Schizosaccharomyces pombe: one gene and its partners. The gene in region 1 interacts genetically with each later gene. Each region holds a gene or a part of one and is shown in the gene's direction. Other genes may lie near its edges. The genes, in order: hhp1, cdc24, cut12 and rec11.

Region 1 (4,418 bases):
CAAAAATTAATGAAACAGAACAAAAATTCCCTTTGAGCTCTGTCCATGCTTACGTTGAAATCGGAGAAGGTATGTTTTCAATGGAAATCGTTACTGAACAATTGCGTCTATTGGGCGCAACTGTTCATGCGTCTTTACAAATGACCGAGGAAAATCCCGTTTCTCACGCAGTACTCTACGACTGCTCACAAGAAACTCTCAAGAAAATTAGTTCTGCTCAAGTCCCAATCGTTTGTGTATCTCCTAAATGGGTTTTGGCTTGTTACTCATCTAAGTATTTAGTCGACGAGGAAATGTACTTAGTTGATCCTCAAGATATACTGCAAACTAAATGTTTACAGACTGATGACTCGGAGTTGCTGAATCCTCTTGATCCTTTCACTGACACGCAAATGATTCAGGACCCTTCTGATGCCTTCTTTTTCGATACTCAAGCAGAAAATTTAGAACCATTCGTTAATGGGTCTCCTGATTCTCATTGTTTTAATGCCGACTCATTCTTGGATCAAACTTTGTCCGATGATTATGAGTTTGGTCTCATTACTTGCAGTGATTCTAATGAGTCATCTATGTCCAATGACGCTCAACGAGAAAATAATCCAGAAACCATTTCTCAAATATCGCTATCTCCAACGGCTGATCTATTTTCGTCTTTCAAAATTACGACGGATTTAGAGATGACTCATTTAGAGTCTGCCAAAAAGAAGTATCTAGCTTACAAACCGTTAATTGGCTCTCCACTAAAAAAGAAGGTTAGTCTTATAGATTTCTAAGTGCCTTGTCTTTCTATTTCATTACTCTCTTTCATTTACAAGTTTAATTCCGCACTGCTCATTGTACATATTGTTAGATCAGTGTTTTGCGTGTTTTTCCCCTTTCTTTTATCCTGCCCATTGTCAGTTTATTTTATTTTATTTTATTCTATTCGCTCAGTCGTCACAATCCTGACCCAAATTATTTATAATCTCAATGGAGAATTAGTCAACTCTTATTTAGAACAGAAAAATGCCTTGCATTTTTCGCTTTTCTTATGTAAAGAACTACAATATTAAATTTCCGAAAAAGGTTTTCTTATTGTTTTAAAATGTTCTTTCATTTTATTTTTTCGCACTCCAATATTCGGTTGGAGGTCTTTTTCGCTTCAACTGGAAAGACAGTGTATCTTACAGCTTTTATTTTCGTCTGAGAACCCGAATTTTCTCTATCTTTTTAGATCATTCGTTTACTGGGGCTCAAATATTATTAGATTTTGTATATAGATTACAAGGAAGAGTCTGTTATAAAGGACACATTTTATTAGCCTTTTATTCTTAGTGTTAATAAACCATACCTTACATTTTACATTTTTCAGTAAATGGTAATTGATAAAATAGAAACCAAGAAAAGCATCACGCTCCCATTCTAAAAATAGATATTGGATGTACGAATGTATGTAGGTATGTTTTATTTACATTCATCGTAAACTATCAATATTCGCAAATTCACTATCTATTATAATTTAATCGCATAGCGAATTTTTTTTGTATTATAATTTATTATCGTTATTTTGATAAAGCAATGCTAACTCTCGTTATGTTTACTTTAAGTTCTTTACTTCTACGTTACCTAACTTGCTCTACTTTTTCGAACCCCTACTTTTACCTCAACCACATCATTCAATTTCAATCTATAGTATATTGGAGAGAAAAAGCGAGTGCCTTTAGCCTTAAAAGCGTTATAATATTATTATGGCTTTGGACCTCCGGATTGGGAACAAGTATCGCATTGGTCGTAAAATTGGCAGTGGATCTTTCGGAGACATTTATCTTGGGACTAATGTCGTTTCTGGTGAAGAGGTCGCTATCAAGCTAGAATCAACTCGTGCTAAACACCCTCAATTGGAGTATGAATACAGAGTTTATCGCATTTTGTCAGGAGGGGTCGGAATCCCGTTTGTTCGTTGGTTCGGTGTAGAATGTGATTACAACGCTATGGTGATGGATTTATTGGGTCCTTCGTTGGAAGACTTGTTTAATTTTTGCAATCGAAAGTTTTCTTTGAAAACAGTTCTTCTCCTTGCGGACCAGCTCATTTCTCGAATTGAATTCATTCATTCAAAATCTTTTCTTCATCGTGATATTAAGCCTGATAACTTTTTAATGGGAATAGGTAAAAGAGGAAATCAAGTTAACATAATTGATTTCGGATTGGCTAAGAAGTATCGTGATCACAAAACTCACCTGCACATTCCTTATCGCGAGAACAAGAATCTTACAGGTACTGCACGCTATGCTAGCATCAATACTCATTTAGGTATTGAACAATCCCGCCGTGATGACCTCGAATCTTTAGGTTATGTGCTCGTCTACTTTTGTCGTGGTAGCCTGCCTTGGCAGGGATTGAAGGCTACCACGAAAAAGCAAAAGTATGAAAAGATTATGGAGAAGAAGATCTCTACGCCTACAGAGGTCTTATGTCGGGGATTCCCTCAGGAGTTCTCAATTTATCTCAATTACACGAGATCTTTACGTTTCGATGACAAACCTGATTACGCCTACCTTCGCAAGCTTTTCCGAGATCTTTTTTGTCGGCAATCTTATGAGTTTGACTATATGTTTGATTGGACCTTGAAGAGAAAGGTATGAGATATCTTGGTAATAGTGCTTTTTTTATTTTCTGGGTTTCCGAGTTATTGAAAACCAATGTAATATGATATTTTATGAAGTTTACATAGTCACATTTACTAACATTTAAATTGTAGACTCAACAAGACCAACAACATCAGCAGCAATTACAGCAACAACTGTCTGCAACTCCTCAAGCTATTAATCCGCCGCCAGAGAGGTCTTCATTTAGAAATTATCAAAAACAAAACTTTGATGAAAAAGGCGGAGACATTAATACAACCGTTCCTGTTATAAATGATCCATCTGCAACCGGAGCTCAATATATCAACAGACCTAATTGATTAGCCTTTCATATTATTATTATATAGCATGGGCACATTATTTTTATATTTTCTTCTCATCTGGAGTCTTCCAATACTTGCCTTTTATCCTCCAGACGTCCTTTAATTTTGTTGATAGCGCAGGGCTTTTTCCTTGGGATGGCGAAAGTTACTTTGCTTATAGTTTATTGAGGGTTCATAGCTTATTTGGCTGAAGATCTTGTGTTGACTTAAATTCTATGCTAACCTCATGATCATATCCTCATTATGGCAAGTTTTGGTGAAAAATTTTTTAATATTAGTACATTTGCTAATAATACATTTGGTATTTGTTTTTACTACCTGTGAATCTATTCATACATTATCATATATGTTTCGAGCCAGGAACAGAAAAAAGTGAGAGAATTTTCTGCAGAAATGATCATAATTTTATCTTCGCTTAACACGAATCCTGGTGACAGATTATGCGTGGTTTAAAGCCTTTTTTTTACGACGCCATAAGCAAATTGGTTACTTTTTTATGTGTGATGAGCCTTGGGGTTTAATCTAATTAGAAGGCATTGCATTCATATACTTTTAATAATATATTATCAGCTATTTGCTGCTTTTCTTTATAGATACCGTCTTTTCCAAGCTGAACTCATTTAATCAGCGTCGTTTAACCTTAGGATGCTTAAGATGCGTTTAAATTCAATGACTTAATGCTCGAGGGATGAATGGTTTGTTTTAGTTCGTGTTCTGGGTGCATGATCTCGTGCTTGACTGTTTTATTGAAGCGTTCATTTCATGAAGTGTCTTTCGATGTTGTTCACACTTCTGTTTGCTAAATATAATAAATATTTTGCTTTTCATTTTAGTTTGTAAACATACTTGAAAAAACTAGAAAGGTGTTGTTTGTAAGTTTTTGAATTATCAATAAGATGAATTTAGAATGATGACACCTACTTCAAAATCAACAAGCATAAATGAAATAGAAATAAATTGTCTTTACTTACTATCTATTTGGTGTAGTTCTCTTCTACAGCAAGTTTTCATAGTTCACTTCGTTTGGCAAGAAATCATTATCACCGCTATACTTCACCGCCAACCACTACGAACTATTATTGCCAGTTTCAATAACGATAAATTTAAGCAAGCATCAATTTTCATTAATTTCATCGATTATATATATTAATCGTTTTCTTTTTTAAAACCATTTCTCTCTGCTTCAACTCACATGACCTATTCATAATATACACTCACTTGACCAGAGTTTATCGAAATAAATACGAAACTTGTGCACCAGGGGCTAGGAACGAATATTTTTGTTAGGTTCTTTCTTCTATCTTTTATTCAAGTAAGCTGCTATGGACAGAAAGGCGAATGCCTATTCTAAAAGCGTTGAGTTGTTATCGAGGCTTGAGGGTTGTCCCTCAGAAAAAGTTCTGTTAGAAGAGTTACGAAAATTGAGGGGGTTCATTCGAAATGATATTCCCAGTAATTTTTTTCCACA
Region 2 (4,507 bases), on another chromosome or scaffold:
AATAATGGTTATTTTGTTCTATGTTTGGCTGTGCTATTGAGTTAATGCCCAACTCGATGATGATACCAAATGCGCATAATGTTTCAAAAATAGTGTACCAGATCATTTTTGGTTTGATGAATCTCTAAATTAAATAGAAATGGATATCTGAGTGACACGATGATTACCGTGCAGGGGTCTTGAGGGTTGGTTCGTATTTATGCTTTTTCTCCCAATGTGGACTTCGTAATTTCTTCAATTGAAAGTCATCAGAACGAAAACAGACATGATTATTTACTGAAATTATTTTATTTTTCACACATTATATTAACCAATTTAGTATTGAGACAAAAATCATTCCATGTAGTAATGGGGTTTGCGACGATTCTTTATTCTATTTGGGTAGTACTTTCATCTTTTGTGATTCTTTCAGCATACCAGCTGGAAGTTCGCAAATTTTTGGTTAAGTTGTTGTCCAAGATAGTCATCGGTGCATCTGAATCAAATGTTGCTTCTTTTTTTGCTTTTGTTTCAGAGAAAAGCTTAGAAGCGGCAAGCGTTAAGTTCGTTGCTACTATAATTGCTGAGCGTATGGGTGCCCAATTTTCTTCTTTCTACGACAAAATATTTTTTGTTGATATGCTTGGCCTTGGATCCTTGTTTGCTTTGGCCGCTGTTAATGTACTTGCCGCCCGAAAACTCGAGTCTGAATTACCCGCATCTCTTGAACCAAGCATCGGTAACCGCGATCAGCAAAAAAATAGCTCACTTGCAAAATGCTTCAGTAGGTTATTTATCAATGATTTACATGGGACAACCGTCAAACGCTACCCATACATCTCTTATCTTCCTAACTGGCTTTTAGCCAAAAATAATGCTGAGCGTCTCGTTTACAAAAGTCACCTTTTATTAAACGCTTATTCACCTCCAAAATCTGCATCCGCATCTTCTGTTATTGTTTGGGTTTGTGGTGCTAAGAAATCCGAAAGCATTATCATTCCCTACCTTTCATCTTTAGGCTTCTTCGTAGTGGTTCCCAATTACGCCCAGCCTCCAAAATTTCCCCTTTCCGATGCCGTCGAATTTGTATCTTTGTGTGTAGATTGGATAGTAGAGAATGCCATCTATTATGATGCAGATCCAGAACGTATTTTTTTCCTAGGTGAAGATACTGGTGCGTCTGTCGCTCTTGAGAGTCTAAAACACATTCGACCAAACTCTGTAAAAGGCATTTTTGCTCTGTGTCCCCGTTCTATTCAAAATTTAGTGTGGACAAATCAATCCACTATTCCTATGATGACATTACATGCTGGAGATGTCAATCCGGTTAGCGACAGTAATGATAGAGAATCATCCGAAAAGGCATCATTGATTAAAAATTTTGTTGTACCTGGTGCTGTCCCTTATTATTATGAATTTACTTCTCCAAGAACAATCTCAACGGTATGTCAATATAGTAAATTCCTTATTTCGTTAATCGTTTACTAACCCGCCAGGCTACGTTCATCGCACGTTGGTTCTTCTTAGTAGAAGATAATAAGAAAACAATTTAATTTTACGAGTGCATTCCTTCTCTAGATGGGTAGTTTTAAGTTTGTTTTAATATTTTACAAGCATATGCTTTTTTGTTTGCTAGATGTTTCATCTTTTTTGACAAGCATCCCAAAACCGGATAGATATCTGTTTTAAATGAATTAAATATTATATTTGGTTATATGCTGTTTATTGTGTCTTCTTACTTAAAATTTCGATTGTGATATGAAATAACAAAAATAATGACAGCAAACAAGTTTTTAAATTGTAAAAATTTTATAAGTATTGTTCAATATCATTAGGCGTAACAGTATAAAAACAGATGATACTAAATGGAGTATTTAGGCAGCTGTCAATTATCTATATTCTATCAACTACTAATCTTAGAGCAGTAGTAAATTTAATGATTATATGGATTTTCCAGGTCTGATTAAAAAAATAAAAGAAGATCTAGAAAACCGCTTAGTTGAGAAATCTAAACAACCAGCATTCACTGATTACTGGTGAGTAGATGCTAAAAGTTAACGCATATGTAAAGAGTGGCTACTGACAATTTAGGTTAATAAACAAAACTATCAGCTTGTTAAAGGAGTATCCCTCAGGGTTTAGCTATCCCATTTTAATTAACGAGATTGAATTAGCGGTAAGGAATCTACTTACTCTACAAGTCGATAAAATCTGACATGCATGAACGTAGTGCTCGGAGAGAAATAAATTGGACAATGGTAACGAGAAAGTTTACTTTTTTTTTTGGTATAAAGAGATATTGACCTCCTTTTTTGTAAACAGTTTTTTCTTCTTTGGAATGGTTAACGAAATCAGATGCAGTTATTTATTTGGAAGACCAGTTTCATTTTCATTGCTATGATTATTATTATACCCCAATACCGTCTTTGAAGCTGAAAGATAGTGAGGAGAATACGTGCGAAATGATTTTGCATTCCAGTTTTTATTTACTCTTCCATGAACCATTTAACATTTTGAAAGGTGTAAGGTTTTTGAATATCATCTCCTTTATAACAGTGATTATCTAAGACCTTTATTTAGTCAACTTTACGCTTTTCTCAGTCACGCATCCATCAAAAATGGTATTTACGAAAGCAAATACGTTTCCTTCCTACAACTAGCTTTGTTCCAGTATTGCAATATGCTGCATCAAAAAGTTTTGTGAAATCAATGGTTGAATCAACTGAACATGAATTCTTTCAAATACGTGATATTACTATAAGCAAAAGTGATCAAGGTGTGAAACGAATTACTGTGGAATTGGGTCGCATCATTTCTTTAGACAAAAAAGGTGCTTTTCTTATAGACAACAATACCAATTTTATACATTTCTCAGGGACTTACCATGATTTCCCTAAGCTGCTAGACAAGCAACAATACCTACTTATTCCATTTTGGAGTACCGTTTGGGAAGGCAGTACCAACTGGCAGGATGGAATGATCGGTATTTTGGTAATTTTAAGTGAGAATGACTTTGAAGAAAAAAAATGCGACTCCTGGCAAGTGGGACGCTTAGCTGCCGTTAATTCAAATTTTCTTGTACTGGATAACAATGGTCAGCGAGTGAAGATATTGTATTCCAATTCTCAAAAGCATTATTTCAAGGATACCTATATTGGAGATTTGCTATGCATTAGCCCAATCAATCATTCTTCTGACAATCTAAGTGATTATTCATGCGTTAGTGACACAACGACTGAAATTCGTAAGAAATGGTAAATTTATGGGATTGAATATTGATTTATTTTAGTGTCAAACTTGGAGAACCCGTTATCCTCAAACTTTTTGAGAAATGATTTATGCAAGTTCTCCAACCTTTTTTCAGGTGTTTCTGGGCATTTAAAAATTCAACCGTTAACTTTGGTGATCACCGGATTTGTAGCGAGTAAGGGTTGCTTGTTTTACGAAATACTAATTGAATGATAGATTTAACCCGCCAATCTGATTTAAATACCAGTTTGGTCTTGCCGGAAGTAAATCCATTAACAGCAAAAATGGAGGTAATTGACTGTTTAAGGAATAGTTTTTGGGCAGCTTTACGACCGAATTGTGTTTCATATTTTGCGTCTATGATTTCCGGCTTTAAAGAATTATTCCAAAAAGAAATGGAATTTCCAATATACCTGGATTTGAAGTCGTACAAGCTCGGATTCCATTGGTGTGATATTTATGTGGACTCAGAACACAACTGCCATATACAAAAAATAAACTCTCTGCCGTGTGAATAGCCATCGCCATTATCTGAATAATTATGTCTAACAAATAAAAATCAAACATTGAATGTTTGAATGAAAAGATGTACAGTTCATTCAATCATTCTCCGTTTTAAAAGCTTAGTTTGCTTAATTTACTAATATACTACAGTTTAAAAGGCTTATAAATAATGCATTTTTCCAAAAAAGAAATTCAAAGTTAGAATATTAATTGGCTCACCCTTGTGAGAAACAAAGCAATACGATACAATGAACAGCTAAATTAACAAAATTATAAAAGAAAATGAATCCGAATAACGAAATTTGTATGCCAAATTAGAAAGCATACCAATAACGTTCAAAGTAATGATATAAATGAAAGTGATGAAAAATGATTTTAAGAAAAATGAGGTTAGTAGAAAAATGAAGACGTTCAAATTTCTTCCTCCTGAGAGGCAGCTTCGATAAGGTTTCTATTGGAAATATCAGAAAGATTGGAAGGAAGGAATCTACTGGACGGTATCATCGCCGGGATAGCGTTGGCAGCATAATCGTGGATATTTTGAGAATGTCTAGCTCTATAAAGACCAAAGGCGTAATTGGATGTTAGTAGACTTCCAAATACAAGAATGAGGGAAAAAACCATAGTTTTATAAGAAATATGACTTATAAAAGCGTCTATAATCTCAGCAAAAACTAACGCTGCCAACTTTGTAGAACCGACATTATTAGAACTTTCCATTTTACATTGTTTCAGTTTTTGACAAACTTCAAAAATAGCAGGTCCTGGAGAGTCA
Region 3 (4,174 bases), 1.3 Mb from region 1:
TACTAACAGCTTCAATTTTAGGCCCCTGCTCCTCCTCAACAAGCTTATGGAGGCCCAAACTATTATCCTCCTCAACAAAATTATCCTCAACAAGGTTATGCTCCTCCACAAGGCTATCCTCAAGGTGGATATCCTGCTCAGCAACCTATGTATGTTCAGCAACCTCAGGCCAGTGATCCTGGTGGCGATCTTTGCTGTGGTCTGTAAGTATAAAGAATGGGCGCGTAGAAGACGTCGAAATTGCATTGGAACGGTGAAGCACACTCTTAATTTTGAAAGGTGAATGGGGTATTCTTTATTGAATTAGGTCATTACGTCAGTCGATTAAAGTTGCTTTGGCGTTCCTTTCGAATAGTTCCCTGTTGAACTGTGTTTTGCTTTACCTTTTTCTCTTTACTAACGACTGTTTTTAGATTGACCGGTCTTGCTTGCTGTTGCTGTTTGGATGCAATGTTTTAAAAAACTATTTGGCTTGTTCTTTCTACTTTTCTCGAAAGAGAGCATGCACCACTGATTAAACTAAAAGCCGTGTTTATTTTCTGACTTGAGTGCAATTAATGATTGTTGGTTATTTTTTCATTAATTCCCTCGCCAGCAAACAACTTTATGGCGAGGATTTATTTATTTACATTGGTAAAGCGTTGGTCGAATAATTATAGATCTTGATTTTTCTGTACAGAGTGTCGTCTCACTTTTTGAAAATTGCTATTACCCAACCGTTTAATTTCAGCTTCTTTTCTTCGAAATTAAAACCTTTAGTTTTATGATGGACTGTCTTTTCTATTTTTTAAGCGCAAAATCTTTTACAGCATCCATTGGTCTAAATCGTTCTTTATGAATAATTTTTAGTTTGGATTAGTTGAAATGACTCGTCCTGAAAAAATTCGCATGTTTATTTATCTTGCTTACCCTGAAGGGGCAATATGTGTGTTTCGTTTTTAGCTAACCTTTCTATGGTTTGTCTACTTTTTTGCTGCTCGTTATATGTTGTGTATTCTGTTTAGTATGCTGTTGTTTTCTTTTAGTGTAGATGAACTCTTTAGATTTCCCAATATGTTTAAGTTTGATAGAGTCGGTTTTTGATCGATACGTATAAGAATTCCTTATTTGTTTTTTAAAAAGATTTTAAAAGTAAATTGAGGCATATATCTTACGTAAAAAGTTTAAAGTTTCTAAGATTTGCTTTGACTATTTCAAACAGGTAGATAGATGCGTGCTTTTTCTATGGTGGAAATACGACAAACTTGTTCACGAAAATGAAGCTCAACCATTGCGACCCCCCTTGATTCAAATGCTATGAATTTGGATGCGCAAGCTCGTTAAGACAAAAATTGCCATATGACTTTTATTGCAATGAGCGCTATATCTACAAATACTCAATATCCTTTATCAATTACCCATCTATAAGTATTATTTATAATCGTAGTAGTAAATGTATTTCATTGCAGCTATACTCTACTTCCTATTCAATTACCTCCTCCATATAGCGAAAAGACCGTTCACGATATCACAAAGTTTATTAACATACAATAACGAGTTCACATATTAAAAGAAATATGACGATACGCAGTGTGTAAAATAGTGTACTGAGAGGACGTCCAATGTAACATGCGATCGGGTTCTTTATTAGTTTGTTGTGTTTGTGCCATACGTTGAAAACCACCGAATTGGGAAATATTGTTAAAGTTGGGTTGTTTGGACATAATTTTGTTAAATTCGTTTAAATTATTTATATTTTTAATTATATTTTTACATGCAGAACAATTCAGAGATCCGATAGAATGTCAGGTAAGGAATTCCTATGTAAACAAAGCTAATCTCAAAATTTAGAAACTTTGAACACTCCGCCAACATATGCATGGGTTTTGAAAGCATTTTCTAGTAAATTAGCAGGAACTGTGACGAAGCCTGTTACAAAAATGTCCTCTTACATTGAGGATGCAGAATCTGATGCAGAACTTCCGCAAGACGCAAAAGAAGACCTGCGCCCAACTGAGACATTAACTCCGTTAAAAAGTAAAGCAGCACAAAATGGGATTTTGAAAACTCCAGGTACTTTACAAATAAAGAAGACCGTCAATTTCAAAGATATTTCAAAAGATGCTGCGACGTGGAATCGTCCAACGAAAAATAATTTCTTATTTACGAGATTAGATGATGAGAATCCTTTAATGGGTCATGAAGAATTCAAATCCCCTTTGTTACAGAGTACTCCAAAACCGAATATTAATAATCCGGATAATGAAAACAAAAGTAAGCATGACGAGTTTGATAATCGCTATAATATTAATATCAATGAATCCTATAAAAATGAGACAAAAAGCAATCAGAGATTAGGCGAAGATGTCCCTTCAAAGAAAAAATATCCTCACTCGATGGATGCCGAGATCTCTAAATTCAAATGGGATAGTAACAATAATAATGACTGGTCAAGTTTAATGAAGGATTGCTTTCGAGATGTTGTGAACAATAATCGAAAAATGAAGGAAATTATTAAAGACGTTATGATTGACACATCCCAAGCTTTTCCCTCTGAGAGCTTGGATGAACCTGACTATACGATAAACCTTGATGCGCCTCGTTCCTCTTCAGGAAAATACTGGAAGCAAAAGTTTAGTATGCTAGATTCTGCTCATTCGGATCTTGAGTTAGAATTAACCTCTATCCGTGAGCGTTTGGAATCCTTAATTTTAGAGAAACAAGAGGAAATCAATTTTTGGAAACAACGTTGTCGAGCTTTAGAAACGGAGAAAATCCATAATCATCAAGGACAACAGTCAAAATACAAAGGCAAGGAATTCGTTGGAAATAGATTTAGCCAAATGAGGGAGCTTTATACTGCTAAGCCAAGTCCGATTACTACTAAAGTTGTTTCTAGGCCATCCCAATCTGATGTGCGTGAGCCTCAAGAACAGGTTCCTTCCAAGAATTTACATCGGGGAGCAGATATGTCGCATTTGGCAGCTCAAATGCTGACTCATTCATCAAAAAAGTCCCATACGACAAACCTAATACCTTCTGAAGGAATAATTTCATCAACTCCTATTTCCGCAGCTTCCAAAGTACGTATGAATTTAATGCAGTCTAATCAAACTCCTACACCTGCTCCATTTTCAATAGCAGCAAAGAAGTCCCACTTACCGTCGAAACTTAGTTTCCCACAAGATGGTGGTAGCTTATCTTCTGCTACTACCTTGCAGCAATTGCCAAAAGCAAGAGTGACGCCAAACGTGTTATCTTCTTTAAGCTCAAACCTTGGAAAAACAAATCCAACGTCAGTATACCAATCAAAAGCGAACGTAACTACAAGTGCTGATGTTGAAAAACCACAAGTTAAAGTTGCAACTAGTTCTCGCGTGGATTATGATTTGAAGAGTCCAAATCAACGTACTGCGAATGCAAAGAAAAGATTAGAGGAAAGGAGAAGACGAAGGAAGTTGAAACTTCAAGAACTTCAGTTGAATTCCTGAAGGTATAATTTTACTAGATCGATATTGTATAATTAGAATGCATATCCTTTTTAAGTAAAGGACTGGAGCCTTAGTTTCATTTATTTTTGTTGAGGAAAGGTGTGTGCATCAAGTATTGAAAATTAACTATATTCCTTTCGAGAATTAAATAAAATATAAGTCCATTATTAATATTAACTCAAATTACTAATTTTTAGTATAAATGATGGATTCATTATAAGAGGCTTGTAAAAGGCCGTATTAGTCGTGGATATTGTAATTTAATTTCATCTTTTCATGCAGTATTTTACTAGAAAAACATTCAGCTGTACATTTAGATCGTAAGCTGACTGGAAGAATTCCATCTCCTCAACCTCCATTTGAATCTTGTCTTAGGCCATACGCAGTAAAAACTTGAAAGTAGCAACAATTTCATATTACCACACTACGATAGGTTATTAAATGGGAAAATGGGTGTCTTAGAAAAAGTAAATAAAAATATCTGCCGTTATATACTAATCTAAATTGGCTAGATTCAAGAGATTGAAGCTGAAATGCGCCGGACGCAAAAAAATAAGGCGACGGAGTACCATCTTGGTTTGGTAAGTTTTTTTAATTCATTTCTAACTGGAATGCCTTTTATTTTATAGCAAATATTACAATGTTGTTCCAACTTATAAAGAATCAACTCTAAATTAAACTAACCTAGTCCTTTAGTTGAAAGG
Region 4 (5,904 bases), on another chromosome or scaffold:
TTAGGGGCATCGACCAAACATTCCATAATGATTATGGCACACGGTTTCAATTGACGAGCCGTGTACCCACTATAATATACATGGCAAGGAGTCCAATCCAAATGACCCAACATCTGCATAGACAAGTAGTAGGCAGTAGCAGCAATGAAGCTAATATGGGCACCTATAAAAATTTCATCCATCAAGGTTACTTCTTGAAGATATTTGGCGAGCATGCGAATGTCGTGATCGTAAGAATCAGCTCGACTTATACGACGCAAAAACGACATGGGCCCTGGCCAACTAATGTCAAAATCCAAAAGCATCAGCATATAGCGCTCGGCTCTAATGATTTCGTCAACGGTGAAGATCCCTTGGACAACATGCGCAAAGTTGTAGATGCTTGGAGGGTGTATCTCTTCATACTTACAGGCAATCAGCAAAGCTGATAAACCTACCAACTGGACTTTTTGCAAAGATACGACTTTTATGGAAAGAAACCGGTCGATAAGGTTTACCGCCAAAAATAATGTCTCAGGAAGTAAACGAAAATGTATTTGAACTTGCACAATCCAATCAACAAGCATATGTCTTGTAACCCAGTCAATCTCTTGCTGAACTGACATGTAATTAGGAGGTGGAGCCAGCTTCCTTTCCAAAGATTGCATGTAGTGAAATATCTCAGGATCATAGTCTGGTACCATGGATGGATCAGTTTCTATATCCTCAGGCGATGGGTTAGCTTGTAATCGAGCAGCAGCTTCAGACAGGGCGGCTAAATCTTCCTTGGTCCACTCGGGAATTGTTGGTAGTCTATGCTTCCCGTGTGTAAGAATTCCTTCAGGTGCGTCAAAGCTGCCCTCACGGTTTTCCAAATCATCATCTCCAATAGACTTAGGAGTGGAGCGAATTGACCGTTCCTCTATCTCGACTTTGTCCTGGTATGCAAAATCCTCTTCAAAAGTGTCGCCAGTGGACGAAGAGATGGAGGATTCATTATTCCCTTCAATCAATGTTGGTTCATCTTGTTGATTGATGTTATCTACTGCCTTGAAAGGTGCACGAACACCCGTATTTAACTTGATGTGACTTTTCTTCTTCACATAAATGTGATCCTTTTGTAGCTGATTCTCATCTTGAAAATATGTTGCGTGTCTTGTTTGAGTCGAAACGTCCATTAGTAAACCAGCACACACTTGTTTAGAAAGTTTTGGACATGCGATGAAAGTCGGTTTTCAAACTGCCTTTTACTCAGGTAGGAACCCTAGTCTTCTCTTTGGAAAAGATCCTTAAAAATTTAGATGCTTTTCGACTTCTAAAAATTCGAAAAAATGACTCTACACCCAAATATATGAAGATACTATTGAACGAAGGATTCGAGGAAAGTAATCTTTTGGATTGACCAGAAAGATTAGTACTACAACAGTACAAGAACTAAAAATCTCAAATGAAACCAACGAACAAGAGTATTAACCAAAAGTTGGAGTAGGACTTTGCAAAGGAATACCGAGCTACTACTAATGAGAAAAAGGAGTTGGTGGGTTCTCAAAAGGGGTCAGGGAAAAGCCCGAAATTCCGAGTAAAAACGCGTTCTTATTCATAAATTAGTTACTTTATGTTTCAAAAGTAAAACTTTAATAAATTATTATATACTTGATTGCAATGGTTGTATGTGAACTGCAAAATAATTAATGACTGACTGACGCGACTCGTGTCACGTAAACAAACCCATCGTTTCTGTTAGATTAATCTTTGCCATAACCAACCACCATCGTACCAATTAATTGAGTGATTTCAATGAGATTCGAATTTGAATCAGATGCAAGCAGTCATCTCAATGAAGTCCTTACTGAATTAGAAAGCGTGGAGCTTGAAAATGTTGAATATGAAGGTCCAAGTTTACAGAATGTCAGCATTTGTGCCTCGCCCTCAGAAAAAAAGCGGAAATGGGGAACACAAGATGAATTTTCTTTGACGGAGAATGAAGAAAATAATGAAATAGAGACGAATGAAGAGATGCACGTAAATTCTCATGATTATGCCTTTCCACAAGAATTTTTTCGTAAGTTTGCTTGCTTATAAGAGAAAAAAAGTCTTCGATAATATATTCTAACAAGCATACGAAAAGTCAAACTGTTGGATATAGATATGCCGCTCGAGCAACTTTCTCAACATTATTTTGAAGACTATAAAAGTAATAGCGCTGACTTCATGCTGACCTTTATAAATTTCGCATTAGTTGTAAGTTTAGCAGGAATGATCCGCGACGTTTTCTAGCTTTTGCTGTTTTGTTTACTCTTCCTTTGAAACGTAAACTAATTCATAGGCCTCTGGTTGTCAACCCTTCGTTACGAACTTTGATGTACAGGACGTAGATTCAATTCCTGAAACATTGTCTCAGGTCAATCGTTCAAGTTTTCAAAAGGTGTGTGCATCATCTTTTTGTAATATTTACTTACCATACATATCGCTAGTCTTCTTGCGCTTATACTGATTATCTTTATACTTCTAACTCTAAAGAAGCTAAAACGGTGCGTATTCGTTTTCAGCTTTTTTTGGTCGAATTCATCAGTAAAGTTTACGTGGAAGACGCATTCCTCGGAGACTCATTCATGGAAACTACAAAAGCTTGGATTTTTACCATGACGACAAGTCCTTGGATGCTTGTTAGACATACTGCAACAACTATTTGCTGTGATATCATGCGATGCTTATGCCTTATAGTAAACAAACTTTCCGAAAAATCAAATCAAACTGCGGAAATTCTGGTACTGAGAGACTTAACATCTAGGTTCATTGACATGATTCACGACATTTGTGATAGGTTGGCAATACTACTTTTCTTAACGACTCTAACCTTTTTACTAGTGTACTATTCTCAAGGATTCATGATATACGTGCAAGCATTCGTATAGTGTGTGTTACTGCTCTATATGATTGTTGCCAATTGCTTCCCACCTATCTTATAAACAGAAATTTGATTAGACATTCTGGCTGGGGGTTATCTGATGCAGTAAGTGTATAAACAATCGCTACTGCTGTATCATTTAAATACTAACTGAACGTATAGGAATCACAAATCCGAAAAATCTCCTTAAAAATAATAGATTATCTTTCTTCTCATGAACCTGAAAAAGATCAAGATTTTGTGGTTGATTTTCTTGACAGATTCTCGTTAAGAATTGTGGAGATATGTCGGTACGATATTGATTCTGTTCGATCTGTTGCCCTCAAGACATGCGAGAAACTGATGGAGAAAATATCGTTGAATGGAAAATGTATCAATATTGTTTCTAGCTGCATATTTGACGGGAAGCCCCAGAATCGAATCTCGACAATGCGAATCCTCGTTGCCCATACTAATGAACGCTACGCAAATTATTGTGAAGCAAAGACTGCAACAATCAGCTTATCAAAGCTCTTAAGGCGTGAAAAAATCCCATTGTTAGTTTCCAGCTTTGAAAGCCTATTCAAAATGAATGCGTTATTATTCATACTTGAGCAAGGATTTGAATCTTGGTTCCGTGATAGCAGCGATCACATCTTTTCGCGTGTGAAAGACGATGACAAATTTGTATATCAGTCGCAGGAGAATAACTTTTATGATGCGGATTTCATACGAGAATATGATATGAATAATCATAGGCAGCAATTAATTGAGGAAAGCATGCATTCCATTCATACAAACTCACAATTACTTGCCAGTTGGGAGGATGTTGCAAAGCTCTTGCTTTATGATCGCTTTGATGCAAAAGATACTAACAGTGTCTTAAACCCCTGTATACCGAGCAACGCAGTGATAGAATTTTCTTCTATCTATCTCCATTATTTTGCAACACATATTAGCAAAAGAGTAAGTTATTTAAAGCTTCATATTACTAAACCTCTAGTCGAAGAAGCCAGGTAAAAGACTTGAAGATGAGGTCGTAAACCAACAGCAAGCAATGTTACGAAACCTTCCATTACTATTACAGAAATACAGAGAATCTTGTGTTTCATCATACTTTTTTATAAAATGCGTAGAGCAAATTCCTGACGAGCTTCTTTATAAGAGAGAATTTCATAAGGACTTTTCAAAGTTGTATAAAGAAATACTGGATATATTTAATTCAACTACCGTTAACTTCCTGATGATTTTGTGCAGCAGATTCTTCCACCGATTGGCGGTCAACAAAGTTGTACAGGAAGATATATTATTTGCCATTGACAATGTATATAATGATTTAGCAGAAAGTTTACACGAGCAACTCAATGCATACATTCAAAGAAAAAAAATAAACAAAAAAAATCAGTTGAATGGCAATGAGTAAGGATTTTTCTTTTTGTTATTAGATTGCTAACTTTACAAGTGAAACGCAAAACTTGGTTTTAGCTTTAAATAAGTTTGGATGCTTTGCAAAGGAAATGGTCTGTCTGCGAGACGTCAATGATTGGAACATTAAACTGTCAGAAAAATTATGCGAAATTTGTAGTCTTGAAGTCGGTCCTATCGTCTGTTATTCTTCTTTGAAAGTTTTATTTCTTCTTCTGCTTTCTGATATGAGAGATAGAAACTGTATTTTTACAAATATATTTTTAAAAGCAGCTAAGGTTGCGAAGCAAAAAAATGGAAACTCCTTTTTAAGCAAAGTTTTCGTAAGTCTCTAATGTTGCTGTCTATCTATCTTTTATGACTGTTGATTTCAATCACATTTAGTGGAGTAAAATGCTAACTATAAGCAGATTACAATTACGATGCTTACATTGTTTCTTGGATCAAAGGCAAATAATTGGGATATAAATTTTAGTGACGATGACTTGAAATTGATGAATGAAGAAGAAATCATGGAACAAATTGAAACTTTTAAAGCATGGTCAATGAAATTTAAAGAGAAATCATCTGGAAACCCTTCTTACTTTTTTTCACCCGAAGATACTGAGGAGAAGGAATTATGGAATAATCTGTTTGAGGATTGGTATCCCAATCGTGCTAGAGATCCTGGAACACTGAGTCATTTAGTGAAAGGTTTAAAAGAAACAGCTGACCATTTATCATAAAACGAAATTTTAACACTAATTAAACCCCGAGGGAAAAGAGATAAGAAAGCACATGTGCTAACTTTCTTATTGAGGCAAGGAAACTTATTAAACAAAAGGAAAAGACATTAAACTCTATTATGTATTTCCTATATGATTATTCCAACGAAACTAACTCAAAAATACCTCAATTTCAAATACTCAATTTTAATTAAACCCTGAAGAGTGGGAGCTCGTGTGCTCGCTAAAACTACAATGCATGCCATTTCTTTCTTTCCAGCCCTTTGTCTATATATGAGTTTTCTTAGGACTTACTGGTTAATCAAAAGGTACGCCTTATGTTACTAAGCAATAGAAAATGTTTTTGAGGGATGCATAAATTAAGTTTAAAAAAACAAGACATTAAGATGTTTAACATATCAATTAATTTTATTTGATTTCAATAAAATTGATAATTATTTGACACTTTAAAATAATTTGGTGGTGCTACAAGTTATGTAGGCAATAGTTGATCGTAGGCAAGTTGGATTCAACCAACACCTTTTTGTGCAAGGTATTGTAAAAAAGGGTTGACTTCATCTCATTAAGTTAGTTTGAGTCAAAGAATATATTTGAGGAAAGACTCGGCTTCAATATCAATTTTTTTTTCGATAAAAAAGTGTACTGGCTAAGAATTGAATTACTTGACAGAATACCGAAATGTCGACTTCTTTTGCTTGCACGACTTGTACTGTGGCTTTCAATAATGCAGAATCACAGAAAATACATTGGAAGTCTGACTGGCATCATTATAATCTGAAGAGAAAGGTTGCTAGCTTGCCGCCGTTGAGTGCTGAGGTGTTTGCTGGAAAGATTTTGTCCATTCAAAAGCAGAACGAGGAAGTCCAGAAAAAAGCAGAATTTTATCAA

The links.
Region 2: of hhp1 (region 1) and cdc24, extra expression of one rescues a mutant of the other (dosage rescue), as found in Schizosaccharomyces pombe (one study listed by BioGRID).
Region 3: of hhp1 (region 1) and cut12, changing one suppresses a phenotype caused by changing the other (phenotypic suppression), as found in Schizosaccharomyces pombe (one study listed by BioGRID).
Region 4: of hhp1 (region 1) and rec11, changing one suppresses a phenotype caused by changing the other (phenotypic suppression), as found in Schizosaccharomyces pombe (one study listed by BioGRID).

What each region holds. Positions count from the first base shown.
Region 1 is NC_003423.3:1,854,118-1,858,535, reverse strand, and holds hhp1 (serine/threonine protein kinase (CK1 family) Hhp1), read left to right. Parts: upstream 1-1,625; 5' UTR 1,626-1,727; coding exon 1,728-2,618; intron 2,619-2,740; coding exon 2,741-2,947; 3' UTR 2,948-3,863; downstream 3,864-4,418. Other genes in the region: mug176 (BRCT domain protein), read left to right, coding at 1-773; lvs1 (beige protein 1), read left to right, coding at 4,273-4,418. UniProt on the Schizosaccharomyces pombe protein: Involved in DNA repair. Has a probable role in repairing alkylated DNA and may regulate the activity of protein(s) involved in double strand break repair caused by gamma rays.
Region 2 is NC_003424.3:2,863,204-2,867,710, reverse strand, and holds cdc24 (DNA replication protein Cdc24), read left to right. Parts: upstream 1-1,884; 5' UTR 1,885-1,923; coding exon 1,924-2,015; exon of another isoform or gene 2,016-2,070; coding exon 2,071-2,155; exon of another isoform or gene 2,156-2,209; coding exon 2,210-2,237; exon of another isoform or gene 2,238-2,301; coding exon 2,302-2,501; intron 2,502-2,559; coding exon 2,560-3,223; intron 3,224-3,268; coding exon 3,269-3,403; intron 3,404-3,444; coding exon 3,445-3,746; 3' UTR 3,747-3,981; downstream 3,982-4,507. Other genes in the region: SPOM_SPAC8F11.08C (esterase/lipase), read left to right, coding at 349-1,422, 1,476-1,532; brr6 (nuclear envelope protein Brr6/Brl1), read right to left, coding at 4,144-4,507. UniProt on the Schizosaccharomyces pombe protein: Has a role in the progression of DNA replication and in the maintenance of genomic integrity. Acts during S phase, after initiation, where it is essential for completion.
Region 3 is NC_003423.3:539,502-543,675, forward strand, and holds cut12 (protein Cut12), read left to right. Parts: upstream 1-1,654; 5' UTR 1,655-1,781; coding exon 1,782-1,788; exon of another isoform or gene 1,789-1,830; coding exon 1,831-3,470; 3' UTR 3,471-3,667; downstream 3,668-4,174. Other genes in the region: tail anchored plasma membrane protein Uvi15, read left to right, coding at 22-203, 414-459; GTP-binding protein Gtp1, read left to right, coding at 3,920-3,937, 3,983-4,051, 4,167-4,174. UniProt on the Schizosaccharomyces pombe protein: Required for bipolar spindle formation. May act as a regulator of the p34cdc2/cyclin B kinase. Required for full activation of the plo1 kinase.
Region 4 is NC_003421.2:1,222,798-1,228,701, reverse strand, and holds rec11 (meiotic cohesin complex STAG protein Rec11), read left to right. Parts: upstream 1-1,733; 5' UTR 1,734-1,776; coding exon 1,777-2,041; exon of another isoform or gene 2,042-2,107; coding exon 2,108-2,220; intron 2,221-2,235; exon of another isoform or gene 2,236-2,305; coding exon 2,306-2,404; exon of another isoform or gene 2,405-2,453; coding exon 2,454-2,803; intron 2,804-2,847; coding exon 2,848-2,992; exon of another isoform or gene 2,993-3,049; coding exon 3,050-3,832; exon of another isoform or gene 3,833-3,869; coding exon 3,870-4,285; intron 4,286-4,328; coding exon 4,329-4,614; intron 4,615-4,701; coding exon 4,702-5,016; 3' UTR 5,017-5,394; downstream 5,395-5,904. Other genes in the region: G1/S-specific B-type cyclin Cig1, read right to left, coding at 1-1,157; rei1 (ribosome biogenesis protein), read left to right, coding at 5,695-5,904.